Linked DNA regions of Canis lupus familiaris. The protein of the gene in region 1 purifies or fractionates together with the protein of each later gene. This does not show direct contact. Links are inferred from orthologs where the notes say so. Each region holds a gene or a part of one and is shown on either strand. Other genes may lie near its edges.

Evidence for each region.
Region 2: the proteins of IGF1R (region 1) and ARRB1 purify together in Homo sapiens (affinity purification with western blotting; 3 studies listed by BioGRID and IntAct, with this or other methods). This does not show direct contact. The link is inferred for Canis lupus familiaris from reciprocal best matches to the Homo sapiens genes IGF1R and ARRB1.
Region 3: the proteins of IGF1R (region 1) and RACK1 purify together in Homo sapiens (affinity purification with western blotting; 4 studies listed by BioGRID, with this or other methods). This does not show direct contact. The link is inferred for Canis lupus familiaris from reciprocal best matches to the Homo sapiens genes IGF1R and RACK1.

The regions. Positions count from the first base shown.
Region 1 is NC_049224.1:42,429,464-42,436,891, reverse strand, and holds part of IGF1R (insulin-like growth factor 1 receptor), read right to left. Parts: coding exon 7,418-7,428; intron 5,517-7,417; coding exon 5,278-5,516; intron 2,901-5,277; coding exon 2,733-2,900; intron 2,533-2,732; coding exon 2,328-2,532; intron 1-2,327. UniProt on the Homo sapiens protein: Receptor tyrosine kinase which mediates actions of insulin-like growth factor 1 (IGF1). Binds IGF1 with high affinity and IGF2 and insulin (INS) with a lower affinity. The activated IGF1R is involved in cell growth and survival control.
Region 2 is NC_049242.1:23,393,531-23,400,958, forward strand, and holds part of ARRB1 (beta-arrestin-1), read left to right. Parts: intron 1-2,055; coding exon 2,056-2,100; intron 2,101-2,867; coding exon 2,868-3,064; intron 3,065-4,565; coding exon 4,566-4,625; intron 4,626-5,448; coding exon 5,449-5,516; intron 5,517-7,428. UniProt on the Homo sapiens protein: Functions in regulating agonist-mediated G-protein coupled receptor (GPCR) signaling by mediating both receptor desensitization and resensitization processes.
Region 3 is NC_049232.1:609,951-618,167, reverse strand, and holds RACK1 (receptor of activated protein C kinase 1), read left to right. Parts: upstream 1-3,736; 5' UTR 3,737-3,856; coding exon 3,857-3,965; intron 3,966-4,249; exon of another isoform or gene 4,250-4,317; intron 4,318-4,906; coding exon 4,907-5,078; intron 5,079-5,380; exon of another isoform or gene 5,381-5,459; intron 5,460-5,618; coding exon 5,619-5,766; intron 5,767-5,980; coding exon 5,981-6,076; intron 6,077-6,495; coding exon 6,496-6,606; intron 6,607-7,041; coding exon 7,042-7,182; intron 7,183-7,554; coding exon 7,555-7,665; intron 7,666-7,990; coding exon 7,991-8,056; 3' UTR 8,057-8,098; downstream 8,099-8,217. UniProt on the Homo sapiens protein: Scaffolding protein involved in the recruitment, assembly and/or regulation of a variety of signaling molecules. Interacts with a wide variety of proteins and plays a role in many cellular processes.

The DNA.
Region 1 (7,428 bases):
GTGGGCAAATGTGGTATTTATATTCATCCTATGAAAAGACTGAATAGCAGGTCAGACTTATCTTAGGAGAGAGAATGTCTGGGCCAAAGGGGTGGATGCATGCATTCGTCAGGGGTAATTTGGCATGAGAGGAAGCTTATTTTGAATTCACCAACACGAACACAATGCATTAATAATATCTGTGTCAGCCACAGCTCTGCCTTCACATTGCCCGATCTTGTGTTCCCCATCTGATGAGAAAGAAAGGTACTGCTTTGTAACTACAAACTGAAAGCTTGGGGCCCTTTTGCAAAACTTTTCCAAAGCCTGGACTCACAATCTGAACTTCTGGCAGGTCGGTGGGACAAGATAGCAATGCAGCCGACAGCTTTTGCTGGAAAATAAACAGACAACTCCTGCCCAGCCTATTTGGGACACTCTAAACTCACCTGCATCTGTCCATAGGGAGAAGCACTAGCTGAGTCCCTGCTGACATGGGGAAAATGGCCCATGTGTGTGCCATTGGTGTGTCCAAAGGAAGGCCAAGTCCCAAATGGTTCGTTAACTAATTAGGCTGTTAGAGAAGTCACTAAGCCTGAATTTAGTTTTTACACATCTTTGAGCTCCTCAAATGCTCTTATTCTTGGAACCACACATGACACACAATCTAGGCTAACACTTGATCTGCAGCCCTATAAGGAGATGTCTCCAGTGGAGCAGGTGGGGAGGACCTATGGTGGGCTCTCACACCTTCAGACTCCTAGAGAGGAGAAAAGGGGCAGAAAGGCACTAAGCAACGAAGAGCTATGTTCTGAAAAGAATGCTTGCAACTCTAAGAGGTCTTCACTTCTTAAGGACTTTTCAAAGTACAATGGCTATCTTTGACTATTACACAAATATCAGAAAGGTCACTTGATGGGAAAAAAATCACTTTAAAAGCCATTCGTTGTTACAATCTAAGTAAGCCTTTAAGGGCAAAGTTATTACAGAATAAAAAGAAGTTACAGACTTCTGGTGCCTCTCAGGGGCAGGGGCAGGAAGGACAGTGATCATAGAACATGCTGGGCAGTGGGCAGGTGGCTGGGACGCCGTAGGAGCCAGCAGCATGTAGATGCAACAGAGTCCAGTTCCTCCGCTCACGTTTCAGGCAAGAGGCTGTTTGTAAACGCCACACTATAATCTTTCAGGAGGAAAAAGGAAACAAGGACCACCACTCTGTTTCCATCTCCTTCCCCAGACATTGCAGGGCTACCCTGCTGGACTCCCCTCCATGTTTTTTTTAAACCATTTCTTATTGTGGTAAAATAAAATTTTTGAATAAAAAAAATACCCACATCTTGCCATTTTGGCCATTTTCAAGTGTATAATTCAGTGGCATTGATTATATTCATGATGTAATCACCATCATCACTGTTTCCAAAATCTTTCATTGCCTCAAACAGAAGCTCTTAGACTCGTTAAAGCCAAACTCCCCGTTTCTCCCTCCCAGCCCCCTAGCCCCTGGAAACCTCGAATGCACCTTCTGTCACAAATTGGCCTCTGGTAGATGCCTCATATGTGTGGAATCCTATAATATCTGCTCCTTTTGTGTCTGGCTTCTTTCACTTAGCATAATGTTTTCAAGGTCCATCCAAGTTGTGCCCCTTGTCAGAATCTCATTCCTTTCCATGGTTGGGTAATATTCCATTGCGTGGATAGATCATATTTTGCCTATCCATTCATCTACTGATGGACACGTGGGTTGCTCCCAGCTTTGGCTACTGTGAATAGTGCGGCTTTGCATATTTACCTTCCTCCATTTTTGTCCTCACTTAGTGGAAACGGGGACTGGGGCAGGGGAGCAGATGGATTCCTGGGGACAGAGACCGCTTTACCCTGAAAGGCTGTCCTCTACGCTGCTCCTCAAACGTGTGTGTCAGGGATGCCTGTGGCACCTGGTTGTGCTTGGAGGTTGGGGCACTTACAAAACTCACTCTGGCTTCACTTCTCAGCCTGGCTTTGAGAGGCAGCAGGGAAGAGTGGTGCGATGGACAGAAAGGGCCCTCCATTCACTGGTGTCTGAGGGTGTGAGCCTCTCCAAGTTTCACTTACCTGTCCCCACAGCTGAGAGCCCACCTGCCTCTGCGGGAGGCTGTGTGGCTGGGGCGGCCCCTCCGTCAGGGCTAACCGGCTTCCACAGCCCCTACCTCACTCAACCAAGCTGATACCTTGTTTTGTTGGTCCTTCCCCTGATGGCCATAGGTTCTGCCAGGAGGCTGCTGACCTATAAACCCCCCTGAGTGGGGACAAAGCAACGGAACCTGCCTGAGGACTAGCAGCCTGGAGATGTTCTCAAATGGCAGTGGTACCTGGGCACGAAGATGGAGTTGTGCAGGAAATTCTCGAACACTTTGCGGTACTCGGCCTCCTCCTTCTCAGCCTGCTTCTCGGCCTCAGTTTTGGGGCAGGCACAGCAAGGCCCCTTCTCTCCACCACATACTTCGGTCTTGGGATTCTCTGTCACCTCTTCGACATCGATAGTGCCATCAGCATACTTCCTGATGGGGATTTTATCTACTCAGGAAAGACAAGCCCAGCAGGAATAGAAATCAATAGGTTGTATGTGCTGGGGAGGAAAAGGGGTCGCCACCAGCACACTCAGTGGAGAATGTAGCCGAGTTCTGACAAGGGGCCGCATGTTACATTGGGGCCTGGATCCATTCGGATGCTGGGGTTTGGTCCCAAGCCCCCTCGCTTCTATCCCTCCCACTCACCTTTGGAGCAGTAGTTGTGGCGGTAAAGGTAACTGTCCTGGGGCTGCCGCTGCCACCTCACGATGTAGTAACTGAGGTTACCGTTGGGCAGAGAGGGTGGGTTCCACTTCACAATGAGCTGAGAAGAGGAGTTTGATGCAGAAAGAACATCCAGGGGAATGGAAGGAACTGGAGAGAGCAACAGAGGACATTTCAGAACATGGAATGAACCCAAAACCCAGGCTGGCAGGTAGTCATAGCAAACCAACAAGAAGCCACAGGCATGACCTGGGTGAGGACACAGTGAACATAGATCCATGAGATGACAAGTAAATCTTTCTTTGAAATCGTATTAATTTAGGGGCACTTAGGTGGTTCAGTGGTTGAGCATCTGCCTTTGGCTCAGGTCATGATCCCCTCATTCATTCACAGAATGAATGAGGCAGGACTAGGAAAAGCAGTCCACAAACCCAAGCATACACAGAGCCTTGGCTGCAAGCAATAGACTCTGTTAGCAGCCAAAGAATACTGATTTACAGATAAAGCATAATAATCTGGTCAAGTTTTATGTACTACTGCCTCCCAAACCCAAACCCAGAGCTGCCTTATGTATAAAGGGCAATCACATCTCAGGACCAGCGAAATCGTATTTTCCTTGGGTTCACAAGAAAACACTGATTTTCATGGGTTTTCCAAAGTAAAGAGTAAAGAGACCTCTTTACTGTAGATCACTTACACAACATGGCCATCCAAGCCACTTTTAAAATTTCAAAGGGCAAAGAGCTTGAGGGTACTTTAAGGCCCATAATATCATACACAAGATTCTGAACACCTGTTTGGAGTGATGCTTTAGGAAGAAGTTGTGACTAATGCCAGATTTTTCAGGAAAAACAACCACGGGATGCTCGGCCACTTTCAGATTTCCAAAGTCAATATCTCAAGAATAAATAGCGTACCCCTCGATGTTTCAAGTCTAAGTATCACAAAAAAGCTGAAGCAGAGGACTTACTGGGCCTTCCTCTCTTTCTGCCACTTGAAAGGACAGGGGCCAAAATGTAGGGAACTGGCCCAATTTGTATGGTGCTTAGTTTTCCATCTTTGGGGAAGGGAAATGGGTTTAAGAATTCATCATATAATAAGGGGCACTTGAGTGGCTTAGTCAGTTGGGCAGCTGACTCTGGATTTTAGCTCAGGTCATGGTCTCAGGATCCTGAGATCGAGCCCCACATTGGGCTCTGTTTGGTGGGGAGTCTGCTTGAGGACTCTCTCTCTCCCTCTCTGTCCCTCTCCCTCAGCTCACTCTCTCTCTAAAGTAAATGAATTAATCTTTATTTTATTATTTTTAAAGACTTTATTTATTTATTCCTGAGAGACACAAAGAGAGAGGCAGAGACACAGGCAGAGGAAGAAGCAGGCTTCCAGCATGGAGCCTGATATGGGACTTAATCCCAGGACCTTGGGATCACAACCTGAGCCAAAGGCAGACACTCAACCACTGAGCCACCCAGGTGCCCCTGAATGGATCTTAAAAAAAAAGAAAAAAAAAAAAAAAGAAAGAAAAGAATTTGTCATAAAAAGGAAAGATTCGTATTTTTCCTGAGCTGGCAACAATAATTTACTTCCAAACCTTAGGAAGCATAACTTGTTTTGTTGCCTTTGAGCCTCTGCTATACTACCCACATCCAGGATCAGAAGCCTGTGCCAGATTTACTTCTATAAACACTTTAGGATCTGTGACATGATTGTGACCACTTATGGGATCCCTGAGATGGAGGAAGGGAGGAAGAAGCAGGCATGCAGGAGCCAAAGGTTTTCCCCATAAACACTTTTTCTTTACCCTCTCCACCATTTAAACTTGTTTTGTGCTACCTTAAGGGTATTCTTTAAAAACCCCTATCATCCAAGGATATTTATCATTGTCTTTAGAAATGATGTGGATTTTCCTACCTCTAAGCTGGTTTTCATATACTTAGCTAATACACAGAAACGTTTGCTTTCATTAGTTCCAGACTCTGGGGTTGAGAAAAATGAGGTGGTTTAGAAAATGAAGACAGAGACAGAAAGAGGAACACTTTTACCAGTGAATATCTGGAATGTCCACAACATACATACTCTGTCTGACATTTCCAAATTCTGTCTACCTTCGTGGGACCCGGTCCCTACAGAATGAAGATGGAAAACCAAGTAGCCACATGAGGTAAATGGGACACGAACTTAGCATGTTTTCAGTTCCTGGAGGTTCAGCTATGAAAATAAAACAGGGGGCTGTATCCTGGAGGGGTCCTCCGAAAAAAACCACCCCAGCCTCCTGGAGGACCTGGGCTCACTGGTGCAGGGCAGACAGATGATAGGAGATGGGTCAGAAAATGGCCCAGGAGAGCCCAGGGTATTGGGACTGAGAAAAATAGTATGACAGAGCATTAGTTATTGGTAAGAAAGATACATAAAAAGCAGACTGGTCCAGGTTCAAGAGAAACAACAGGCACATGTGTTGCTGGCCCTCTGCCTACACTTGTCATAAGCAAGCATGGTGAGCTTGAATATGGGATGGGCGGTGTGCAGATACCTGAAGCATTGGTGCGAATGTACAAGATTTCACTCTTAGCCCCACGGATGTGGTCATTCTCCACCATGGTGAGGGTCACCGCCTTGACATAAACCGCATACTGCGTCCAGGGCTTCAGTCCGTGCAGTAAAATGCCAGGCTCAACGTCCTTGTTGGGAGGGAGGTCCACATCTACCATATTCCAGCTGTTGGAGCCACAGGCATCCTGCCCATCATACTCCGTAACGTTTTTAAAAGGTCTGCAAGACAGTGGGTGAAACTCAGAGAAAGTTTTAGGTCTCTGACATCAAAACCCTCAGAAACCTTTCCCAAGGGCCAAGCACATCACACTTTCTATTTTTAAAAAAATATTTTATTTATGTACTCATGAGACACAGAGAGAAAGAGGCAGAGACATAAGCAGAGGGAGAAGCAGGCTCTCTGCAGGAGCCCAATGTGGGACTTGATCCCAGACCCCAGGATCATGCCCAAGTCAAAGGCAAACACTCAATTGCTGAGCCACCCAGGCGTCCCGTCACACTTTCTATAATGGGAATTAGAAATACATGGTCAATTAGATTTGTACAGAAGGATAAAATTAAGCAACGGGACCCCAGGTTTCACCACATTTACAAACACACTGTAGAACTGCATACTCTGCCTCAAGAAAAATAAATTCTAATTGTTGCTGGGATTGAAAACTCAGCTCCTTAAGCATACAAGCAAATGCTATTTTTCTCTTTTCCAATTGTGGCATTTTTCACCATTAAGAACAAAATAAGCATAATAATTTAATGCAAACATTAGCTACTGAGGAAGAATAAAACTTTTGGGGAGAAAGGACTTTTACTACAGAAGAACAGCTTCCAACATAGAGCTTTCAAAATCTCAATGGCTCGCAAACAATTGTGATTGCTTAAGTATTTTATGATATTCAAGTATTTAGCTTCCAGATTGTCTCTGAAACTAACACTGACTCCTTGGTGAGATTACCAGGTGAAAATGCCAAAGCACTGGTGGAAGCATCAAAGAGAGAATATTTTGCACACATTCTTGGGCAGGTAGGGGTTCTCCATCAATCAGATGAAAGGGTCAGACAGACCCTAGCCGCTGGCTTCTGAAACAGATATTAACATGGCCCTCCCTGTCATCATAACAGAAGACCATGAATGACTCCCACACAGAAACACACTGAGCACCCAATAATCCTGAGATCTGCTTTTTTTTACTCCTATGACCCTTCCCAGGGTCCTGGCTATGGCAGGGGCAAGGGGACCAGATACTGCCATTGGTGGCTCTGGTTCTAGCTCTGGGGAAGCCAACCACTTTGGAAAGAGACCTACAGAATCACAATTGGAGCTGGTTAAGGAGGGTGGTTAATGAGACTGGGGGAACCACATGGATAAGGAGGCAAAGAAAGGAAGAGAGAGACCTGCTGAGGCAGGTGGATATCACCTGTAGGCACAAGAAAAGCCCCCAGATTTTGGGAGAAATCATGAAAGGTTAAAAACATGAAGGTCAGTCTCCCTCCATTCTTCCTTCCCTGGTTCAGAGGGCTCATAACCTAGAGCAGAGGAGCAGGTTTTGGGAAGAGCTTATGGACAGGAATAAAATGACAGATTGTCTGGGGGTCACCCCTAGGGAAGCTAGAGTTCTTGGGGTTAGTGGACACATTCTGTATTCCACTTTATGGATGTCTGGACTAACCTAATTCTCTAAAACACAAGCTTTTCTTTTTGGAATTATTTTATTCAAACCCTTCTAATGACCCGCTGAAGAATGAAAGGCCTCAGGTGCCTGGGTGGCTCAGTCAATTAAGCATCTGCCTTCAGCTCAGGTCGTGATCTCTGGGTCCTGGGATGGAGCCCTGCATTGGGCTTTCTGTTCAGTGGGGAGTCTGCTTCTCCCTCTCCCTCTGCCCCTCCCCCCTGCTTATGCTCTCTCTCTCTCTCTAATAAATAAATAAAATCTTAAAAAACAAAAAAAGAAAAAGAAAACAAAGAGTGAAAGGCCTCAAGCTAACACTGTACACTGTGATGTTGTGGTTGTCACCACAGTGACAGATGTCCTGTGACAGCTGGGGAGGGAGGACTGAGGGTGAAGCACAGGCGTCCCCACCCACAGCCCCACCCACAGGATACCACAGAGCACAGAAACTCACGCTTCCTTGTA
Region 2 (7,428 bases), on another chromosome or scaffold:
GACAAGAACAGACCAAAGTGAGGCCAAAGGAGGTGGCAGGTTGGGAGGATGGACACTGGAAACTGCCTGAGGCCAAGTCCAGGTGAAGAAACTAGATGTGTTGCATGGGGAACATTCACAGAGAATGTGGCCTGTCATGTATCCCCGGGAGCTGTCCTAGGGCCAGAAGGCAGAAGTGAATGTGTGGTTCTGGAGCCGAGGTGGGAGCAGAGAGCACAGCTGGCAGGTTTGGGGTCACTGGGAGGGGGAGACCTTTGTGACAGTGGGAACAGGAGAACTGGGGAGTCCCCGGGGTCCTTCTGCTGAAGGGGTATGTGTAGAGCTGCGGGCTGCAGAGCATCAGCTGCCCATTAGGCCCTCCCTTCCTGGCCTGGAGTAGGACAACCCCACCTTTCCTCCCCTGTGCTGTCTGGGAGGAACACCAGTTTGCCTGGTTTGCCTACGACCTGCTACAAGGCACAGTTTCCTGCAGACTATCTGGGGTCAGGCTCTGTCCCTATCCATTGGCCTATCAAGGACAGCAGTGGGGGTGACACAGAGGCTGGGGGCGGGAGCAGGAGGGAATCAGCTCCTCCACCACACACCGGCACCCTGAGAGCTGTTTAGTCAGTGTTCACAGAGCACCTACTTTGAGCCAGGCCCTGGGGATCCCAGGGAGCTCTGAGGTCACTGTCGAGAGTTGATCAAATGACACAGAGAGAAACACCTTGCCCATCACAACAGTGAGCTGATTGTGAATTCCCAATGCTTAACTATCTGCCATGGTTCCCTTTTGGGCTCCGGGGCAAGCGCACGCCCCCAGTCTTGCAGACAGGACACTGTGAGTCAGGCCTGGCCCTGCTTCCTCTACCACCCCCAGGATCTACACGCTTCCCCCTGTCCGCTTGCGCTGTCCCTTGGTCATCTAACCGGTGACCCGTACTTCTCCTTTAAGACCTGCCCACTGCTTCTGTCCCCCAGGAAGCCTTCCCTGACATCTCCGGTTGGGGAATTGCCCTTTTCCCCCTACTTTGTACAGAGACCTTGGGTGCTCAGGCACAGAGGAAACACCCACAGAAGAAAGAGGGAAGATGGGCACGTTCTGCGGTGGGGCAGACACCCCTGGCCGAGTATCCCTTGGGCCTGCCCAGGACTGGATGGGACCAGGAGCCCTCTAACACTCCCTTCCAGGGGCAGCCTCTGACATTCCCTGAGAGATTGCTATGGGGGCAGCATGGATGTAGGGGGAGGGTGGCAGTGGGTGAGAGTTGAGGAGAGAATTTTGCTTGTTCAGTGGGTATGGCTGGGTGAAGTATGGCCAGAGGTGACCGGGGATGTCAAGGCAAGGAGCCTGTATTTCCAGTTTCCTGGGATCCCACAGGGAGAAAATGTCCTTTGTGTCTAGCTGGACTCCGCACTGCCACGGCCAGGCCCGGGGACATTCTCTGTAGAGTCCCATGAACCGGGCACCATCTCAGCTTTAAACATATTAACTCAGTTGGTCTTCACGGGAGGCCTGGGAGGTCGGTTCTGTAGGATCACAACTCCTGATGGCAAATCCCAAATCCAAGAAACTCTAGAAGTCTAAACTTACTGGTAAGTTTGATGTAGGATTCATTTAGTGACAAAACCTGACCTGAACTATAGGAAGCTCTTTATACTTTAGCCTCTTTGTGAAAAGATTCATGTTTCCCTGCTGAGGTGTTAATGGGTTTGATCATGGGGCACTGCCCCAGATCCTTCAGAGGGTGTTACAGAATATATGGAAGATGTACCACATGGCCTTTTAGAATCTCGAAATTCTAAAGTACACCTGCTCGTAGGGGTTTGGGACCCATATTGGTGTTTTTATTAACAGGGAAGAAACAGACCAGTTGCCAGCTGGGTCTGTAGGGCCGCCTGAGGGTAGGGGCTGGGGCATGGCAGTGCCTTCCTACGGGTGCTGGCCTCCCCTATTTCTCTCATGAGGCTTGTCCACAGACAGATGGTGAGGTCAGGCCTGGCTTGGTGTTTGGGGCTCAAGAATTTGAGAGGTCAAGTTGGGAGGGTCTGCTTACTCTCTTGTCCTTCTTCCAGATGGCGTGGTCCTGGTGGATCCTGAGTATCTCAAGGAGAGGAGAGGTGAGGAAGTGGTCCCCACCTCTGGGCTGTGAGGGGGCCTCCTATTCCCTACTGACCTCTAGCCCAGGGCCTCCATGAGTCCCAGACATGACACCAACTAATTTTAAGGCCTTTCCCTGCCCAGCCCCACTGGCTCTTCCCTTCGCCTGGGCAGCCCACCTATGCCTATTATAGGAGAACCTTTTCAATTCCCTGAGCACTCACATCAATATATCATGACTTTCGCAAGGCCGGGGATGCCCATTAGGGCAGGAATTAGAGTCTCATTATAGGAGAGAAAATTGAATCCCAGGGAGGTGAAGGGCTTGTCCAAGGTCAGCAGGAAGATGTGGGGTGGGGGTTGGGCTAGGAGAGGACCCCACACCTTCTAGACACCACCCAGCACTTGTTTCCCTCTCCCTCTGCTCTCTCCAGCCACATCACTTCCCCAGCCCCACCTGCCCTCCACCCCGGTCCTACCAGCCTTCTCCAGCCCTCACCAACCCTGTCAGACCATCTCCTGTGCTCCCCACACTGGCCAGAGTGGGGCATGGGAAAGGACAGAACTGATCCAGCAGTCAGCCCTCACCTCCCCCTAGGGGCCAGGTCTGAGTGGTTCTCCTGGGTACCCAGTACCCCCATCCCGAGGGCTGCACAGCCTTCCCACACAGGAGCTTTGGGACAGACCTTTGAGCTCCAGTTGGGCCAATCCCAGGGCTCAGCTGGTGCTCTTGGGGGCTTGTTTGCTGCCCTCTTGGGCTCATCCTCCATGCCCCCTGCTCCCACAGTCTACGTGACACTGACCTGCGCCTTCCGCTATGGCCGGGAGGACCTGGATGTCCTGGGCCTGACGTTTCGCAAGGATCTGTTTGTGGCCAACGTGCAGTCCTTCCCGCCAGCCCCTGAGGACAAGAAGCCCCTGACACGGCTGCAGGAGCGCCTCATCAAGAAGCTGGGCGAGCATGCCTATCCTTTCACCTTTGAGGTTAGGGACTGCCAACTGCACCACCAGTAGGAAGCCCTGTGGGCAAGCACATGGGGACAGCTGGGGCAGCAGCTCCATGTCACTCAATTTCTCAGTGTACATTGGGACCTGGGGCACTGTCACTTATACTTCCTGGTAAGTGTCTCTTCTCTGGCCACTGCCAGGGGTGTCACCTTACCTCTGAGCTACTCCTTGGACCCTCCCGAGTCCAGCTCGTGGCGGGAGAGAGCCGGGTGGGCAGAGGCTGCAGAGAAAGAAGGAGCCCTTTCTCACCTCTGAATTACTACAGGACTGTCTCCTCCCTCAGACCAGCTGCCCGCATGCCCAGCTTCGGCCCAGCTCCAGCTGAGCTCCAGCGCAGCTCATTAATGAGGGATGGCATGTAGTGATTTCCCTGCTCTGCCACTTTTCCAAATGGAAAGACTCCCAGATTCTGGATTTTAAAACTTCCTGTTTCTCAGACTCTGATTCTGTGATTCAGTGAAATCCCCTGGCTTTCTGGGAAACCAGAGGAGAGACATTACAGTCATCCTGTCCATGGCAGATGTATTGGTTTCCTGTGGCTGCTGTAACAAACAAGCTGCTGCCAACCTGGTGGGAATTAAATGTGACCATTAAAACACAAGTTTCTGACCTTACAGTTTTGGAGGTTACAAGTCAAAACAAACAAACAAACAAACAAACAAACAAACAAAAAAACAGGTTGCACTGGGCTAAAATCAAAGTGTCAGCAGGGCTGTATTCTTTCTGGAGGCTCTAGGCCTTGCCTTTTCCAGCTTCTAGAAACTGCTTGTGTTCCCTAGCTTGAAGCCTACCCCTCTGTCTTCAAAGCCAGCAATGGCTGGTCAGTCTTTCTTGCAGCCCACCACTTTGACACCGACTCTTCTGTTTCCTGCTTTCCCTGCTAAGGTCCATTGTGATTACATCGGGCACACCTGGATAACTCGGGCTACTCTCCCCATCTCAAGAGTTTTAACTTAATCACACCTGTAAAATCCCCTTTGCCAAGTAAGGTAGCAGTTGAAGGTTCTGGGGATTAGAAGGTGGGCACCTTTGAGGGGGTGGGGGGGCTTGTTCTGCCTACTACAATCTAGGCAGAACACTTTATTTTAATTTTTTTTTTAAGATTTTATTTATTCATGACAGACACACAGAGGCAGAGACACAGCAGAGGGAGAAGCAGGCTCCATGCAGGGAGCCCAATGCGGGACTCGATCCCCAGACCCCAGAATCCCAACCTTAGCCGAAGGCAGACAGTCAACCACTGAGCCACCCAGATGCCCCTAGGCAAAATCCTTTAGATAAAGAAAAGCACTGAAATCCTTGGCTTTACTGGAGGGCTTCTGGCCCAGTGTGGGGCATCCTTGGCATGGTCTGATGGGGGAGACATGGCCTGTTGCTAGGGCCCCCTGGTCTGATAAATGTGTGTGGGGGTGGTGGGTGGGCAACATGAGGAGCTCAATGGTCAATGTGACAGGAGACCTGTCTGTCCTCTTAACAGATCCCTCCAAACCTCCCGTGCTCTGTGACATTGCAGCCAGGGCCTGAAGACACGGGGAAGGTGGGTCACGTCTCTGGAAGCCTCTCTCCGGGTAAAGGACATTTGTATCCCCAGGGCCCTGGCTTTCTGAGAGGCATCGGAACTCTGTGTGGAAGCCTCCCTGTGTGGAAGCCACTTCAACACTGCCTCAGATAAGCCGGCTCTTTTCATACAGGGCAGCAGGCAGATAGGGTGTCATCCTCACCCCCGCATTCCATTACATGCAGTCTCTCCTGGGCTTACTGTTGGCTGCAGCAGAACCAAAATGTTCTCTGGACTACCTCTTGGCCTCACAACCTTGCATGGGGGTCCATTCACTGTGGTCTCACAAGTGGAGAAATGGAGGCTCCAAGAGAAGTGACACTACTAGTGTCACAGGCCCCAGATCTCTGAGCCCCCTTGTCTTCACCTGCAAAATGGAGATGAGAGGCTATGCCTCCTCCTGCAGTTTAGAGGGTGGAGTGAGCCACCAGAGCACTGTTGGGTCTGCACATAGTCTGTGCTCCCCTCCTAGGACTGCTGAGCACCCCCATTGTTATTGCCGAGTGGCTGCCTTAATGAGGACAGCTGCCCAGACCAGGCAGGTGTCTGCAGGGTGGAGCCCAGTTAGGGCAGTTTGGGACACCCAGTGTTGGGGGAGCTAGGGGAGCTCTGTGGGAAGGCCAGGTGGGGTTGGGGTGCAGCACAGCACTGGGGCTGAGGCCGATCACAGGGTCCTGAATCAGGCTGAGGGGCGGTTGGCCTGTGAAGTTTGCTATTCCCCTCCAGGGTCCTGGTTTGTAAAATAAGAGGGTGGGATGGCTGTGCTGTCGGGACCCTGTGGTCAGCAGCCCCTTCTCCTCAGGCCTGTGGTGTGGACTACGAGGTCAAAGCCTTCTGTGCCGAGAACCTGGAGGAAAAGATCCACAAGCGGTGAGAAGGGCACAGCTTCCGCTGGGTGTGGGCTGCCTACTGGCAGAGGGAGAGAGACAAGACCAGCAAAGTCAGAGAAGAGATAAGTAACAATACCTGGAAGTGTGTGAGGAGGGGCCGCATATTCCAGCCCCAGAAACTCCAAGAAGGGCCCTCTGGAAGGCTGGCAAGTCCTGGAGGGGTTCCTGGAGAAAGTGGCTCAACTGTCTGGGGCTTAGGGCTCAGGCCTCAGGCCTCAGGATTTCTCCCTTTACAATGCTGAACCTGCCTCCTCCATCACCCTGCTTCAAGTCTTGCCCCATGAGACTGCATGTTTTTATTTTATTTTGGAAAGAAACACAAAATTTGGATCATTTTAAAGAGTGAGCAAGAGTTTTTTCCAGCCACCCTGAACCCCTACTTCCTACTTCTCCTGGGAAGCCATCAGCAGCAGGTGGTAGTGGGGGCGGCAGTGGGGTGTGGGATGGGTCAGCCCACGTGTCAGAAGAGGTAGTGTTCTCTAGAGAGGCACAGCCCTGGGCAGACAGTCCAGACTGGCAGCTGGAAACAGCTGGACCTGACTTCTGAGATAGACTGCCCAGCCCTGCTCTCGTGCCTGTTCCTCCTCAAGGCAGGCCCTGCCCTGTCTTCTGGCGAGGAGGCGAGGCTGGCCTCAGCCCCCCACTCTGATGCACCCTGCCTCCCCAGGCAGCCGCCCGCATTCCTACCGAGCCTGGCTGAGGGTGGCTGAGGGAGGGCACTGCGGCTTCTTAGGGAGTGGGCTGAGTTTGCCACCTGGCGGCTGAAGAGCGTATTGAGCATCTCCATCTCCAGCCCAGGCAACTCCAAGGTGTGGGGAGATGGGACCCTTCTCCCTGGCTTCTCTGTCTTCCTTTTCTTCTTCAGACCTGAGACCAGGGGAAAGATAGGGGTTCGTGGGTTTTTGAAGGGGGCCTGACCGGAGCAAGGAAGAGGAACGACACTGAGGGCCACTGCCTTCACCCTATGCCAGTGTGACATTTTAAGTCCACATCAGAGATACTACTGATAATGATATAGCAGCTATCGTTTATGAAGGGCCTATTAAGGACCAGACACTATTCAGGGTGGTGAACATGTAGGAACTAATTTAATCCTCTCAGCAACCCTGGGAGGTAGGTGTTGCTACTGTTGCCATTTTACAGATGAGGAAACTGAGATCCAGGGGTGAATTTTCTCAAGGGCATATAGTTAGTAAGGGGCAAGCTCAGACCTTCAGCCTGGCTGTCCAGTTCTAGGGGGTGCAGGTGAGAAATGGGGATGCTGGCACACCCAGCACATCGCAGGCACTGCCTCACCAGATCCCATCCCCTCCCAATCCTTGTATCCTCGTTTCTTCCCTAAGCCCCTGTCCCTTTCACTGAGTCCCATCTCATCTCTGGGCCTCCATCTATTCACTGGGTCCCCATCCTTGTCACTGGCCTACATCCCCCTGATTGAATCCACACCCCCTCACTGAACCCCGTCACCTCTCTGAGCCCCCACCTTTTCATGGGGTCCCTCTGCAGATTTTGATTTAATAGATATTTGGAAGGCATTTGTTATATGGCAGGCACTGTCATAGATGTTGAAAACACAGCAGTGAACAATTGAGATAAAAATTTTGCTCCTTAAGGAGCTTACACTATTAAGTAAAGTAAGGGATGTGGGAAGTGAAACATAGTTCCTTTCTCGCCATCCTGCTGGCTGCCAAGGCACAGATCCACATGAGGGACTGCCATGGGGTGGTTCAGCTCCGCTGGTGTGGGAGTTAAGACCGGGACAAGATCAAGTGAGCTGATCCAGGAAGGTTTCCTGGAAGAGGAGGTATTTAGCTGGGTCCTGAAGAAGGAAATAAATGAGGGTAGAAGCAGGAGGAGAGTATTGCAGGCGGGGGTCCGGTGTAAGCAAAGCT
Region 3 (8,217 bases), on another chromosome or scaffold:
TTGGTTTTAACTATTCAGCCTATGAGGCTGGTGACCAAGGTTAGAATCTTCCACAACCAAACCCTGTACCAGCAACAGCATATGAGACAAAACAGACCAGTCCCTGACCTCAGGGCACTGAGTAAAGCCCTGACAGATTCAAATAAGGGCAGATTGAGTTAAGTTTGTGGAGGCCCCACACACCACACAATCAGGGCATGAAACAAGGAGCCTAACCCAGACTTGAGAGTCACAGAGGGTTTCTCTGAGGTACAACCTGAATTGAGACCTGAGGAAGCTTAGTTAACTAAGGAAAGTGGGGGTGGGATATAGTGGGCCTCCTGTGTGGGAGAGAACTGATGGAGGAATGGGGAGAGCCAGCGTAGCCATAAAAGGAGTATGGTGCCAACCATACTGAATCTACAGAGGAACAGCAAAATGAAGGGAAGACACTTGCTTTAGCTGACAGAGGCCCTGTAGTCTTGGCCGCAACCTTTTCCCTCAGCCCCTCACCTATCACCCACAACAGTACTCATCACTTCATTCAAGGGAAGACCTGTCTCACCTCCTGAATGCTGGCAGGAGGGAACAGAGGCCTCTGTTCCTAGAAGAGGTCATGGGCCTCTAGCAGGGAAACCAGAGGGGCTTCTCCCCGCTGTGCTGATCTTAGGGATTCCCAGCAGAAAAGGAATGGTGAGACAGACTTCCTTAGAAAAGAATCTCCAAATTCTCTTTTGGGATGTTTACCTTGTGTGGGAATGGAAGTGCTGCCAGTGGGGACATGGGAGAGGACAGGCAGCCCAGAGGACAGGCTGCCAGTGGGGACAGAGGAGAGGACAGGCAGCCCAGGGCATGGGACCAGTGGGTGGGGAACATACGAGAGGGGTGGCCTGGGGAGCTGAAAGAAGGCTCTGCAGAGTAACTTTCCCCAATTTCACCCAAGGTCAGGTGGAGCCCTCCAACAGATTTCTGCCTCCTAGAGGGAAAGATCAAAGACCCAGGATGAAAAGGCCCAAAGGCCGGACCCAGGCCTGCTTGGGCAGGCAGCAGACTACTGTGGAAAGCACAGGCTTATTCTTAGGATGCGTCTAGCAGCCAAGAGAAGTCAGCCCCCTGGAAAGGGCCAGGCTTGAGGAGTCCAGGTGGGTCCACATGCCTAGCAGGGAGCCTTGGGGCCCCAAACGGAAGCAGGCATGTATGGGGCTCAACTCCAGCTTGGGCTGAGAGGGAAAGGCTGCTGCTACATGCCATCCCTGCCCCTAGCTATACCCAAAGTGTCCCCAGAGTCAGGGTCAGGCCTCCCTCAATTCATGAATACCCCTCAGTGGTTTTGTGGCTTGCCAGAATCTTCTCCAAGAGAGGAGAGACCAGGTGGTGATGATTGGAGAAAAACTCCAAGGTGGAAAAGCCCAAATCCTACAGTCTGGTCATCTGGGAACTCCACTATATTCCATTTCTCCCTCTCCTCTGCTGACATTGCCAGATGGGTATTGGTGGGTTCCAGGGGAAAACCCGAGATTCCCCCCCTTGGCCCCAGAGGAGGGGGCACTGCCAGGGGCCGGTACAGGGAGACGCCCATGGAATTGCGGGAGGCCAAAGACACCTACAGAAATCTTGGTCTCTGTGGCCAGAGGACTCTGGGAAAGGGCTGCGCAGAGGTGAGCCTGGGGAGGACGAGGCTAGCCGAGGAACGGCCCCCTCTGGAAAGGGGCCTGGTGGTGACGAAAGGTCGAGTCCTTGAGCATGCGTGAGAGACCTGGGAGGCTTGTTTTAAACCTGTCCTCCTGGCCCTCTTTCAGAGATGTTGATTCCACAGGGGCTCCTTAGCAAAATTCAAGAATACAGAGAGCCAAATGAGATTTCTCGAGAGGAGTAAATATAATATGACTAACCAAGGATCTCTTGGGTGAAGGCAGGAGATGAAGGAACGCGTATTCTTGAACTGAGAGGAAATCCTCTGCATGTACAGGCCAACACAGGGGAGTGTTTGCTCTGTGCATTTCCACAGCGTGGAAATCTCTCACCTCTCTATTTGTCCCAACCGCCCAGGGCACTGGCACGACCCGAGCTATGAACAGTGAACTGGATACTGGTGTGGGTGAAAGTAAGGGTCTCCCATTACCAAAACAGGTCAGGGTTGGGGTCGACTTCGAGTTTAGTGTTAGAAGAAAAAGACAGCTAATTGGGGGTGCTACGGAGGCATTTAAATGACCTTCGCAACTGGAGCCCTTGAAGCCTACTCAGAACAGCAACCACCCTGAGGAGCCATGTTCTTTCCCCCAGACTGCGGGCCCTCTGTCAGCTGCCCCTCACGCCTATCTCACTGTTCGGTTTTCAGCACTTCCAACACCTCCAGGATGTTTTGCACTGAGCATCCCTGCCCCCAGAACCTTATCCTCCCGTGTATCCACAGGGCTGTCTCCTTCTTCGTCTCTTTGCTCCAATTTCCTTCCCCCTCACTCCATCAAATGTAAACTCCAAAAAAACCTGGTCCTCACCCCCCTCTTGCTCACAGCTGTATCCCTCAAGACCTAAAACAGGGCCTGGTACCCAAGAGGTGCTAAGTTTGCCTGCATTTATTCTGCCAAGCATTGTTCTGGGCCCTTTACCTACCATAACTCATTTACTCTTTTCAACACCATTTTGGGTGGGTACTATTATTTCCAACCTCATTTCACAGATATGAAACTAAAATTAATACATGTTACAAACAGAAAATAAATACTTATTATGTATAATTCCCCCCCCCCTTATTTTGCTTAGATGATAGCGAATGGTACCACCCTGGTACCTCTCCCCCTTCAAAAAATATGTGACAGGAGCGCTGCCTGCCAGCATCGTCTCTCAGTTATCAAGGAGGCACTACATATTCACGTACCATGCGGCTAAACAGGAGGCCGGTAGGCAACCTGGGAACCCTGATCCACGGTGTCCCAGGCAGGTGGAACCTCCTTAGGGGCACGTCTGGACTCCCCAGACCCGCAGACCTGCCTGAGAGGCGGTGAGGCTCAGAGCCCGCTTTCACTCGAGACCCGTAAGTCAGAACCCGGAGGCCTTTGCTCTCGGGGTCTCTGTCTCTGCGTCGGCTCTCCGCGCTCCTGCCCAGGTGGGAGCCGGGGACGGACATGCAGCCCACGGGCCGATTGTTCGTTCCTCCCCGGTTTTCCGCTCCGTAACCTGTTCCTGTGTTTACTTCTGCCTGGACTAGGTCCTTCCGGACAGGGAGTGCCTCAGCCAATTCCCTCAAAGCAAAAACCTCTCCAGGGAGGAGTTGCCCTCTGCGAAGGAAATCAGTCAGAGTTTACTGGTTCACCTAAGTACAGTGTATTTCAAAAACTGAATACCATATTTTTCATATTCCTTACCGTTACTGGCAGTTCTCACCTCGAAATTGAGCTCCCTCAGCCTGGCCCTCCAGACCACCAAGCGGAAAAGGCAGGGCTCGCGCTGTGCCACGTGGGGGCAGGGAAGGCGCCGGACGTTCCTTATGGGAACATGCTGTCTGTGCCCGTCCCCTCTTCGTCTTCTTATACATCACGCCTCAGTGGATGTTTGAGGGGCCTTTTTAAACACCTGGTGGAGTTGGTTTCAGAATGACTTGGCATGGCACTGCCAAATTATGTTGCATGGCGGAGGCGACCATAAAGTTTTGCCATTTCATCTCGCCTTTTGACTTACGAGGCGCCGCCATCTTAGGCAGGAGTGAATAACGGGGGCCGCCATTTTTGCTCGAACGGGAGGGTATTTCCGGTTCCGGCGGGGACCTTTTCCTTCTTTTCCTCTGGAGGGCCTTGTCGGGAGCGGCTGTGCTGCTAGTCCTTCTGAACTATCCATCTCCATCCTTGTCGCCGCGGCGACACTCGCTCTCGCCGCCGCTATGACTGAGCAGATGACACTTCGTGGCACCCTCAAGGGCCATAATGGCTGGGTGACTCAGATCGCCACCACTCCCCAATTCCCAGACATGATACTGTCTGCTTCTCGAGGTACGGGCTAAGGTGCGGGGCAAAGGATTGAGGGATAAGTGGGTTGCGCGTGTCGCTTGGCGACTTGGAATACTCCGTCCGGGTGTGAGTTGGGGCATGCGGACCCGGGCCACGGCCTCCGCTTGGATAAACCCGCGAACCATCCCCGCTTGGCAGAGACGGAGACCTAGGTCAGCTCGTGGTCGCCAGGAGGATTGCAGGGTTGGGGTTTTATTTCTTGCCCATCTTCTCGCAGATGTGTGTAGGTGTGTAGCTGAGTGTGCTCAGGAGATACGGGGTCGGGCGGAGCGGTGATGATGCCAACATGCCATCTGAGTACCTGTGCTGAGAACCAGAGGCTGTTTCTGAGCTTACGCCCGGCCCGTGCTTAGTGGATAGACTGCAAGAACTCCCCTCGTTTCTTTTCATTCACTGAACCTGGCAGCATTCGGAGGCTTCTTGTGCCTTTTGCTGGCCCCCACACTATTAAAAAATAGTCTGAGGCCAGGATCATGTTTGGAGAGTAATTGGAAAACTTGTTGTTACTAACACGTTTCAGTGAAAGCATCCAGTCAGGTAGGATGTAAAGCAATTTTTCCGAATGCAGCCATTAGTGATTGTAGGAATCCCACAGCCAAGCAGCAGTGTTTATGCTTTAGACCTCAGATCAGACTCCAAGAATTGAATTGATCTGTCAGAAAGGGGCATCCATAATATGCTAAAGTTCTGCACACCAGAGTTTAATTTTCATGGCATTGCTTAGTTCTACTTGAATCTTTTTTGAATAGCCAATCACCTTGGCCTTGACTAGTAACAGCTCACACCCTGTAGTTCTTCCCCCTTGAGAGTCCTTAATTTGTTACCTTTTAAGTCCACCGATGACACTGAGGGATCCTGGATTATCCAGTAGGTCAGCAAGTGGGCTGTTAACTCACTGAGTTTTCTTTTTTACCTCTCCTTAGATAAGACGATCATCATGTGGAAGCTGACTAGGGATGAGACTAACTATGGCATCCCACAGCGTGCTCTTCGGGGTCATTCCCACTTTGTTAGTGACGTGGTCATCTCCTCAGATGGCCAGTTTGCCCTCTCAGGCTCCTGGGATGGAACCCTTCGTCTCTGGGATCTCACAACGCAAGTAGCTGCTCATTTAACTCTGGGACACTGGGCAAAGGCTAGGCAAAAATGAGGTAGATGCTGTTGGGCGGTGGTTTCCAAGGGAGATTGAGGTTCATTGTGGGTACTTAAGGCAAGAAAGTACCTAGAAAAGGTAGTTGGGATTGTTTGGCTTCTATCCTTGCTGGTTTAATTAGTTATGCAGAATTGTTAGAGGAGTGGGCTGGTTGAGTTTTACCACATACTGTGGTTGGGAGTAGGCAAGTGTTGAACATGTTTTATCTTGGGAGCTCAGTACTTGGATGGCCGGGCATAATGAGCATCCCAGTGATGACAGATGACATTGTCAGCCAATCCCTACGTGGGAGTGAGGACATGTCCTGCAATTCTGAAGGGATACTCTCATATATGCTCAACCATGGGCCTGTTGTGATCAGACCTATGTCCAGGGTCATGTGAGTAATGGCAGCTCCAGTGAGACAGGAACAGACCAGGGAAACATTCTGATGTGGAAGAGTGTTTGAGGCATCTAGAGACTGACCACGTCCTCCTCCTCAGGGGTACCACCACACGCAGATTTGTAGGACATACCAAGGATGTGCTGAGTGTGGCCTTCTCCTCCGACAACCGGCAAATTGTTTCTGGGTCGCGAGATAAAACTATCAAGCTATGGAATACCCTGGGTGTATGCAAGTACACCGTACAGGTAACTGAAGGCACATGTAGAAACTTCTCTCCCACCCTTCTTAACCTTGGCTTTAAGGTGATTTTAAGCCTGGCCTGGACTCTATAAAGGGAGCTCTTGATATTAATGGTTTGGGTTCTAGGGTTGTGAACACTTCCATGTAACTGAGGGAAGGTGAGGTTCTGGTTTCATGGAGACAGGATACTTTCTCTAATTTCTTTTCCATCCTCTGCAGGACGAGAGCCATTCAGAGTGGGTGTCTTGTGTCCGATTTTCACCTAATAGCAGCAATCCCATCATTGTCTCCTGTGGTTGGGACAAGTTGGTCAAGGTGAGCTTGGAGCCAGGGTATAGGGCCTTCACCAGCCAGAATGTTCTCCCACTGCCTCTCAGGTGGTCATAGGATCTAAGTTTGAAAGCTTTGTCCCTCGGTTCACTTTTCCTGTTGCACTCTTCTAAGTACAGGCCAGTGGTTTTTGATATTTGGTCTGAAGTAGCTCATGAAGCCCAGTGTCCCTCATAAAGCAACACATAGAACATTTGTTACCTTTTTTAATCTTGATTGTCCCTTAGGTGACCAAGACAAATTCTTTTTAACATTTTTGTTACTGATAGAATGAAAAATGGTCACCCTGTCCTGGAATGCTTTTAAATTAAGTAAATCGTGCCTTTTTTGTCCTGAGCAGTCCTGACCCCAGTTGGTTCAGAGCCAGATTCTTCACCTTTTACCCTCCACCTTACCAAACCTAGGTATGGAACCTGGCAAACTGCAAGCTGAAGACCAATCACATCGGCCACACGGGCTACTTGAACACCGTGACCGTCTCTCCGGATGGATCTCTCTGTGCTTCTGGAGGGAAGGTATTCAGAAACTGGGAGTTTACTACTCAGTGAGGGACTGTTTTAAAAAGATATTTAAGATATTGAGGTAGCAACCAAGAATAAATATCTTAAGATTGCTTCCTGGAAATGACATAGATAAGGCATACTGTTTTAAAGAAAAAGATTGTTTTCAGTAAAGCTGGTTTCTTGAAACTGTTCTTTTCAGAACTGATTGTTCTTTTCAGAACTGATTTATTTAGAAGTTGTCAGAGACATCGTAGGGTTGGTGAGGTGCCCTGCATTAAAGGAAAGGCATTCAGAGATAAATATTGGTATTTGAATCATTCATTAGTTTTTGGGAAGTTTGCGGGGGAAGGGGGACTGTTAAGTAATAAAAAAAATTTTTGAGGCAGTTAAGATTAACAACTGCAATGGGTTTCATATTGCCCTGACTCACCTTTCCTGTCTTCCCAGGATGGCCAAGCCATGCTGTGGGATCTCAATGAAGGCAAGCACCTTTATACACTTGATGGTGGAGACATCATCAATGCCCTATGCTTCAGTCCTAACCGATACTGGCTATGTGCTGCCACGGGCCCCAGCATCAAGATCTGGGTGAGTGTGGGCTACAGTTAAGGCTGAACACCTGGCTGTACTCTCTGAGTCCTGGTAATGTTGTGATTTCCTGATCTGTCACTGCTGGGATTTGAGCTTTCTGAATACCTGCTAACCATGCGGCTAGCAGTGGAGATCCAGGAAGAGCAAGGTAACAGCTTTCCAAGACTGGGATCTGCAGTGGTGGCAGACACTTGTCTACTAAGGGGGATGACAACTTACTCAACTTCAGCACAAGTTGATCTAGACTGTTCTGGGGGCAGGGGGAGGCATTCCTGTATTTTAGGCTGTTCAGTAACATACTCAGCCTCTACTCCCAACTGGATGCCTGTAGCAGAGTCCCTCCTTATCCTGATTTTGCCCATTCCCCAGGACTTGGAAGGCAAGATCATTGTAGATGAACTAAAGCAAGAAGTTATCAGTACCAGCAGCAAGGCAGAGCCACCCCAGTGTACCTCTCTGGCCTGGTCTGCTGATGGCCAGGTAAGTGAGTCTCTGAAGTGACTTGGCTTCTACCTTTTCTCTCTTCCTTTATTCTTGGTGTGTCTTTGACATAAAGTAAAGTGATAAAATTAGCCAGGTTGATTTGGGAGGACCAGATTAACTGTCAGTGAACAGAGTACATGTTCTGGCATTGGAAGGAAAATTGATCGATCTAGCAGTGATTATTAATTACCTTCTCTTGGAATACATACCACCTACAACCTGATGGTTCAAGGATTGGTGATCTTAAAAGGCCATCTTTTTACTAGAAATGCAGAGTTCTGTGACTCTGACATGACCTGTCGCTGTCCTTTCTCCCTTGCAGACTCTGTTTGCTGGCTACACCGACAACCTGGTGCGTGTGTGGCAGGTGACCATCGGCACCCGCTAGAAATGATGGCAGAACTTTAGGAATAAAACATTGGTTTTCTGACTTGTTTGTTTTTCTCTGATAAGCTACCTTCTAATGCTGTATTGCATCACAATGACTTGTGTCTCAGGTATAAATCCTCTAAGCTTGCAGAAAATGTTCTTTAGGAATCGTAAAACCTC